Linked DNA regions of Rattus norvegicus. The protein of the gene in region 1 purifies or fractionates together with the protein of each later gene. This does not show direct contact. Links are inferred from orthologs where the notes say so. Each region holds a gene or a part of one and is shown in the gene's direction. Other genes may lie near its edges.

The links.
Region 2: the proteins of Hnf1a (region 1) and Pcbd2 purify together in Homo sapiens (affinity purification with mass spectrometry; 4 studies listed by BioGRID and IntAct, with this or other methods). This does not show direct contact. The link is inferred for Rattus norvegicus from reciprocal best matches to the Homo sapiens genes HNF1A and PCBD2.

The regions. Positions count from the first base shown.
Region 1 is NC_086030.1:47,305,251-47,309,101, forward strand, and holds the start of Hnf1a (hepatocyte nuclear factor 1-alpha), read left to right. Parts: upstream 1-994; 5' UTR 995-1,144; coding exon 1,145-1,470; intron 1,471-3,851. UniProt on the Homo sapiens protein: Transcriptional activator that regulates the tissue specific expression of multiple genes, especially in pancreatic islet cells and in liver. Binds to the inverted palindrome 5'-GTTAATNATTAAC-3'.
Region 2 is NC_086035.1:8,849,716-8,853,236, reverse strand, and holds the end of Pcbd2 (pterin-4-alpha-carbinolamine dehydratase 2), read left to right. Parts: intron 1-1,396; coding exon 1,397-1,477; intron 1,478-2,660; coding exon 2,661-2,756; 3' UTR 2,757-2,888; downstream 2,889-3,521.

The DNA.
Region 1 (3,851 bases):
AATGACACAGTAAGACTGTCTTGGAAAACAATAAATATGTGTGTGTGCGCACAGACACACAGAGAGATACATACACACATTGATTAGATACACAGACATACAGACACAAACACAGACAGACACAGATACACTCACACACACAGATACATATATACATAGTTTAGAAACACAGGCACACACACATAGACACATACACAGACAGAGACACAAAGATACACACACATACTCACACATACAGATGCACAGACACACACAGACACATATAGACACATATAGATTAGATACACAGACACACAGACATATACACACACAGACACACACACAGATACATAAACACACACAGAGAGACACATACTCGCACACACACACACACACACACACACACACACACACACATACGTATGTCCCGGTTGGGATCACACAATGATAAGAAGCAACACATCATAACCCAGTACAATCCTCAACACAGACGTTTGAAGTGCTAAAACACAGGCTTTACCCCGCCCCCCCCCCCCCCCCCCCCCGGGAAGCCTAAGGTTGGGCTAGGATGGAGGTGCAGTGACTCCCTCCAGGAAATATGACCTAATTCTGCCCTTGAGAACTGGCCCAGTGGCCCAGAGCTTCCTACTGTTCCAGGGGCCCAAAGAAACACGCTTTTAAAGTTCTACGCCAGGAGGAAGGCATCTTGGGCAGTGGGACCAGCGCTGCTCCCAGAGGCCTCCTGGCTCCTGGTGCCTCTCTCCCTGCGCCCCTGGTTCCCGCTCCACCTCCCCCACCCGCCCTTCTGCTCACTCCCAATTGCAAGCCATGGCTCCCGGTCCGGTCCCTCTCGCTGCTGTGAGGCCTGCACTTGCAAGGCTGAAGTCCAAAGTTCAGTCCCTTCGCTAAGCACACGGATAAATATGAACCTTGGAGAATTTCCCCAGCTCCAATGTAAACAGAGCAGGCAGGGGCCCTGATTCACTAGCCGCTGGGGCCAGGGTTGGGGGTTGGGGGTGCCCACAGGGCTTGACTAGTGGGATTTGGGGGAGCAGTGGGTGCAGCGAGCCTGGTCCGTTGACTGCCAGCAGTAGACACCGGCCGTGTGTGGGGGAGGCGGCTAGCTCAGTGGCCTTGGGCCGCGTGGCCTGGCGGTAGAGGAGCCATGGTTTCTAAGTTGAGCCAGCTGCAGACGGAGCTCCTGGCTGCTCTGCTCGAGTCGGGCCTGAGCAAAGAGGCTCTGATCCAGGCTCTGGGGGAGCCCGGGCCCTACCTGATGGTTGGAGATGGTCCCCTGGACAAGGGGGAGTCCTGCGGTGGGACTCGAGGGGACCTGACCGAGCTGCCCAATGGCCTGGGGGAGACGCGTGGCTCGGAAGATGACACGGATGACGATGGGGAAGACTTCGCGCCACCCATTCTGAAAGAGCTGGAGAACCTCAGCCCAGAGGAGGCAGCCCACCAGAAAGCCGTGGTGGAGTCACTTCTTCAGTAAGGATCCCACCCTGTCCCCAGCACCCGGGCAGGAACTCATAGCGGCCCAGTCTATGCTCCCTATGCTCCGGGCAAGTTCCATTTCCCTCCTAGAGGCTTTGGGAGCTGTGGTCTTCAGGCTGGTGGTCAAGGGGTTCTTGTTGAACCTACCCCTCAGTTTGGTCCTACGTACCCCATACCCATGGGCTTCCTGTTTGCAGCCACGTCCTTAGGAAACCGGGACAGGCCTGAGGTCACTTTGAAACGGAGGACAAAGGAAGTGAACCCCAAGAATATGGTGGGAGAACCAGCGGGTGGTAGAAATCCTTCCCCAGGGTGGTCGCCTGTGGCTCCCACAAATTCCACCTTCTTTGCTAGGGGGTCAGAGCCCAGGTTTAGGGACCCGAAAGCGTCTGAGGAGGCTGGGCTGATGTTGGCGTTTTAGGGGATTTCCTGATCTGCCAGGGCCTTAAGCATGTGGCTGGGTACGCCTGGATTTCTTACCTGAGGCAGATGGAGCTGAGGGCTGGCAGCTTCCATGCATGGCCAGGTGCCGTTCCCTCCACCCCCTGACCCCAACTTGGTCAGATAGCAGGTTTAGAGGCCTCCCCATACCAGCCCTCCTCATCTGTTGTCTGGCTCCCCATCTCCTGGAGTGTTGGGTGGGTCCCAATTTCAATGCCTCCCCTCTCCTCAGCAAAGCCACCCTGGTTACTAATTACCCATGCGCGCTATTATTTCTTTTGTTTTATAAATTTATAAATAGCAAAAGGCCCTGATAAGGCCTGTGATCATTAACTTGTAGGGACGGTGGCTGGGAGATGCCCAGTTGGGGGGGTGGAGAACGGGAACACCAAGGTGGGGGAAAGGTAACTTGGGGGCCGTGGGGAATACTACCACCCCCACGTCCCAAAGCCTCCACAGTTTCCTGAGATTATCACCCAGTTTCCTATTTTCTTGTGGGGTTTTGCGGTGCCTAAATCGCCATGATGTAGAGATGAGCCCCCCAGAAGGAAGCGGTTAATAAACCAGCTTTTCAGATAGGGAAACTGAGGCTCAGATTGGGGAAAGAGCTGTGAAGGAGGGGCCTGAGGGCTGGCTGAGGAGTTTGGGGACAATCTCCCAAGAACACTCCGGAAGCAGCCTCTTTTCTGTCCAAGGTCCTGATCCTGACTTGGGGTGGGGGAGGGCTGGTGGATCCCGGCATTTCTGGAAGTGTCGCAGAGCCTCCCAGGGCCTTAGGCAAGGGGCAGAGGAGCAGCCAGGCCCCCTGACTTGGCAGAAAGTGGAGGGCAAAGTGCTGCCTCGCTGCAGGGGAGGGGCAAAGGGCCAAGTATTACCAGAACCAGGGCGCAAGGAACCTGGATAGGGTGGAGCTGGGCCTGACCCGTTCAGGGGCCCCAGGTGGGACTGGGGGCTTAGTATGAGGCGGAGGGGCCAGGGAGGCCAAGAGTCTTCTTACCTGGCTAGGTAGGACCTCTTGTTCAGCAGCCCCCATGCTGGGGGCCGTGGGGGTTGAAGGGGAGCTTGGTCCACAGCAGCTGGAGCAGAGGTCAAAGTGCTTCCTTGGGGGTAACCAGAAGAATCCCGGAGGCAGAGGGGACAAGGGCGGTGAGGAGGAGGATGAGAGGGAAGAAGAGGGCTGGGGGAGCTGGGGAGAGCAGAAGAGCCAGGAAAAGAGAGGGTCTCTGAGCAGCTTGATGAAGGGGCAGGGGAGAGAGGCTGAGCTGAGAGGAGGCTGGAGCGTGTCCCTCCCAGGTTGCCTTTCTTTAATGCTAACAGCGAGCTATTTGCTTTCCATTTAAATTCGAGATGTTGCTATAAATTATCAACCAGCTTCTTGTTCCTGCGGAGTTTATAACTAACTACCCGGGTTACTTATTGTTCAGGTAACAAAGGGGACCTGAACATGTCCCCAGGGACAAAAAGTGGGGGCCTCTAGTTTCAGGACGGGGTGGGGGGAGACTCTGGGGAGAGGGCTGGAGGACCCCTGAGGAGGGCCTGGCTAGTGGGCAAGTTGAGGCTGGAAGGGTTGGTAGAAAGAAGCAACTCCCCATGGTAGCTGTTGATTCCAAGGTCTACCTTTGGAAGATTTGGAAGAGGGAGAGGTGGGTCTGGGGTCTCAGGTCCCACCCCCACCCCCACCCCATGGCGTTCGAGGCCACCGCAGACACCTCAGCTCTCCTCCTAGAGCCCCATCCTTTGTCTACCACGTGACCTTGGGCAAGACCCTTTCCCTCCCCTCCCTCAGGGTCAGCAGGTAGACAGAGTAAAGGCAAATTCTCTTAGTTCTAGTTCTATCCCCTCCCCTCCCCCTAGCCTCCCTACGCTCACTCGCTCATTATCCCTTCTTTTGATCCCTCATGCTGGCTTTGCAAGTCCTGGATGCGCGCACACTC
Region 2 (3,521 bases), on another chromosome or scaffold:
GGCCACCTTTGACCCAGCTCTTGGGTATACATACCTACATGCAAGCACACACACATATATATATCATTTAAAAATAAAATCTTAAAAAATAACAGACGGGGGGAGCTGAGCTTCGAACTGTTTATGGAAGCACACATCTACACATCTAGACTGAACAGTAAGTTTGAGATCAGCCTGTGCTACGTGGGAGAGAAAGAAAAAGAAAAGGAAAATGGAGTCTAGGATCACATGACCATGATGTCATAGTATCAGAATTTGAATCCAGAGTTCCCAGGTTCAAAAGGCAGGAGGCCCTTTAACCACATCACTGTCTGTCACCGCTGGCCCCTTTCAGACGTCCTCTACTTCTGCCCATGCTGAATAAAATCCCAGCCCTCTAGACGGAAGTTCTGTGTCTGAATACCTGAAACGGACATCCCTACGCTACTCATAGCTTCCGTGGGCTCCAGGGGATCAGATTTGGAATGAAAAGGGGCAGGAAGAGTAAACGTGGTTTGCTCTGGGTAAGTCCGTTTGTAGCTAAATGGATTTTCCCCTCCCCTTCCTTTTAAAATGGATACCCATGACTGACAGTTCACAGGACCAATCATGCGTGTGCCCAGTGCAGGTAATCAGCATGGTGATCGCAGGGCATGTGCTGAGTCCAGACGGCAGTCCGAAACTTCGTCCTGTCTCCAGCTTCTTACGGACTTTGTGGTCCCCTTCCACAGAGGTCCCTGAGCCTTAGAGGGGGGCTGTGTGAAGTAGGATTATTATTTGAAGTCACCTTCATAAAAGTGTGAAGAAAAGCAAAAAAGACGCCACGGCCTTCTACTTGGCATCCCTGTTTGCCCTGTGGTGTGAGCCCGGCTGTCAGTGTTGTTGGGCGGGGTCCTTGTCTTGTTTCCATGCTTGACTTCTGCTGAGGCACACTGTCACCTCAGCTTGGTGGGGCTGTAGCTGTGTAGGAAGGTGGTTAAGGGTGGGCTGGGACGCGTCCGCCTCTCTTCACAGCCCTGCGGCTGATGACCGAAGTACCCCATTCACTAAAAACAGAAGGAACAGCTAAGGAGCAAATTGCCTCCCCCGATTGGGGCAGGTAGACCCAGGGCGCTGGGTTGAAGGGAAATTATTCTAGTGCCGTCGTCGTCGGGAGTCCTAGGACAATTAGGCCGTCCAGACAGGTCACTAGGTGATACTCATTTCCTGGTTTGTTTATTTGAGCCAGATTGTTTCCCCACCTAGCAGTCTGCTGCCCCGGTGCCCTGGCTTGCCCAGAGCAGCCCTTCCCCTGTGATTTCTCAGGCTTCCCCAGCAGGGCAGCCAGCCTTTATCTGGTTGGGCAGCTCTGGGGTCTCCCAGCGACAGAGCGCAGGGCGGGGCAGGTAACTAACTACTCGGACGCGCTGTTTTGCAGGCGTTTGGCTTTATGTCCAGGGTTGCCCTGCAAGCAGAGAAGATGAATCACCACCCGGAATGGTTCAACGTGTACAACAAGGTAACTGAGCCTCTTCAGTTTTGGATCACTTTAACTTTGGAACTGAAGAAACTTATGAATCCACAGGAAGTGCCGAGATTCTCTAAGGAACCCGGTGTGTCCTTGTTAATTAGTAACACAGTCAGGGCGCTCCTGGGAGAAGAGCTTGTCTTTCAGAAGTTCAGGCTCCATTAGGCTCCTGAGTTGATCTTGGATATCAGCCATGAAGATACAATTTGACGTATATTTTTGTGGAGGGGGGTTTCTTTGGAGGAATGTATTATTTAAGTCAGTCTCCCTATGTAGCCCTGGCTGGCCTGGAACTCACTATAAATACCAGGCGTGAGGGAGATCCTCCTGCCTCTGCTTCACGCTTTGTGAGGTTACAAGCATACACCTCCATGCCCAGCTCAGTTACCTGAGACCTCAGAGTTTTGATTTGGAAATAACTTATTAAAAGGAATGGTAGCAAACCAGATAGCGTGGCCTTACATGTCTCTCAGAAATCTCAGAAGACGTTTCTCTGTAGTAAATGTTTATTAAAGTTTTGACCTCCAGAGGGCAGACTGGAATGTTTTAAGGGGTGCAGCGAGAACAGCCCCCCACCAAGAGGGTCCTGCCCTTAGGATCTCAGCACGGTCTATCCAGATTTCTCTGAAGGGTTGTAAGTCGTCTTTGAGAAATGAGAATCCCACTTTGAAATTTTTTTTTAAAAGGAAACAAGTCCTAACTGACCAGTTCCAGGCTGAACTCCACCCCACCCCCCACCCCCATGCTTCTGTTTGCTTTTCAATCTTGTGGCTGAGACATGCCCGTCTCCTCAGTTGGCAGCCTGCCTGCTTTTGTAGCTCACTCAGTGACTGCCTGATAGGTCTGTGTGCCTGCTCTTTCCTGGTGGCCTGAACAGAGCTGGTGTAAGTAAAGTCCTGGAGTTAAAATGGAGCATCTGTCTCCTTTCCTCCAGGAAGGCAGGCTCTCCATGCTGGCAGCTGACTCCCCTCAGCCTCTGGGAGCCTTTACTCTTAGGCGGCTGCTGCGAAGCTCAATGGTTTGGGAGACTGTGTTTATCCATCAGGTGTGCTCTCCACCAGCTAACCCCCAGTTCTCAGATGGGAATGTTGGGAAGTCGACTGATATCGACATCCGGGGGGACGCCATGCACGGGTCCCTGCTCAGGTCTAAAAGTCTGCTTGTCCCTTCATAGGTCCAGATCACCCTCACCTCGCATGACTGTGGAGGCCTGAGCAAGCGAGACGTGAAGCTGGCCCAGTTCATTGAAAAAGCTGCTGCTTCTCGGTGATCGCCTTTGAAACGCACATAAAGGCCTAATGCCTGCCTCGTTTGCAGTTTTCTGAAAGCCATTTGTGTTAATAAATTACGTCACAAATTAGTTCATATTTGCCTGAATAAATTGTTTTGTATGATTGATACAGAATGATTTGAAGCCAAGACTCGGTTACTTGTCATTACACCTGGTCAAAGACGATGATAAACCAACCTGAATTATTTAAAAATTAAAAATGTGTGTGTGTGAATATTTGCATGTAAATGCAGCCGTTTATGGAGGAGCAGTTGTGAGCGGTCTGACATGGATTCTGGGAACTGAACTCAGAGCCTCTGAGAGAGCAGTATGACCTCTTAACTGCCAAGCCATCTCTCCGCCCCCAACCTGGGTTGCTCTATGAATAATAGTTTCAAAGAAATTCTTAAGAATTCTTTTAACCTTAAGAAATTCTTTTTCTAGATAGGTTCTCATGGTGTAGCTAGGCTGGCTTTGTATTGTCTATATAGTCCAGACTGGCCCAGAAAAAACCGGAGTTCTGTTTTTAGATTTATTTTATGTGTATGATGTTTCACTTGCATCTATGTCTGTGTACCGTGCGTGTGCCTATCAAGGTCAGAAGAGGGCATCCCAGCCCCTGGCACTGGGGTTAGGGATATTTGGGAGCTGCTGTGTGGGAGTCAGACTTGAACCTGGGTCTTCTGTAAGAACAGAGAGTGCTAACCGCTGAGCCATCTCTCCAGCCCTCAAATGGCCAGGATGGGGAGAGGAGAATAGTCACCT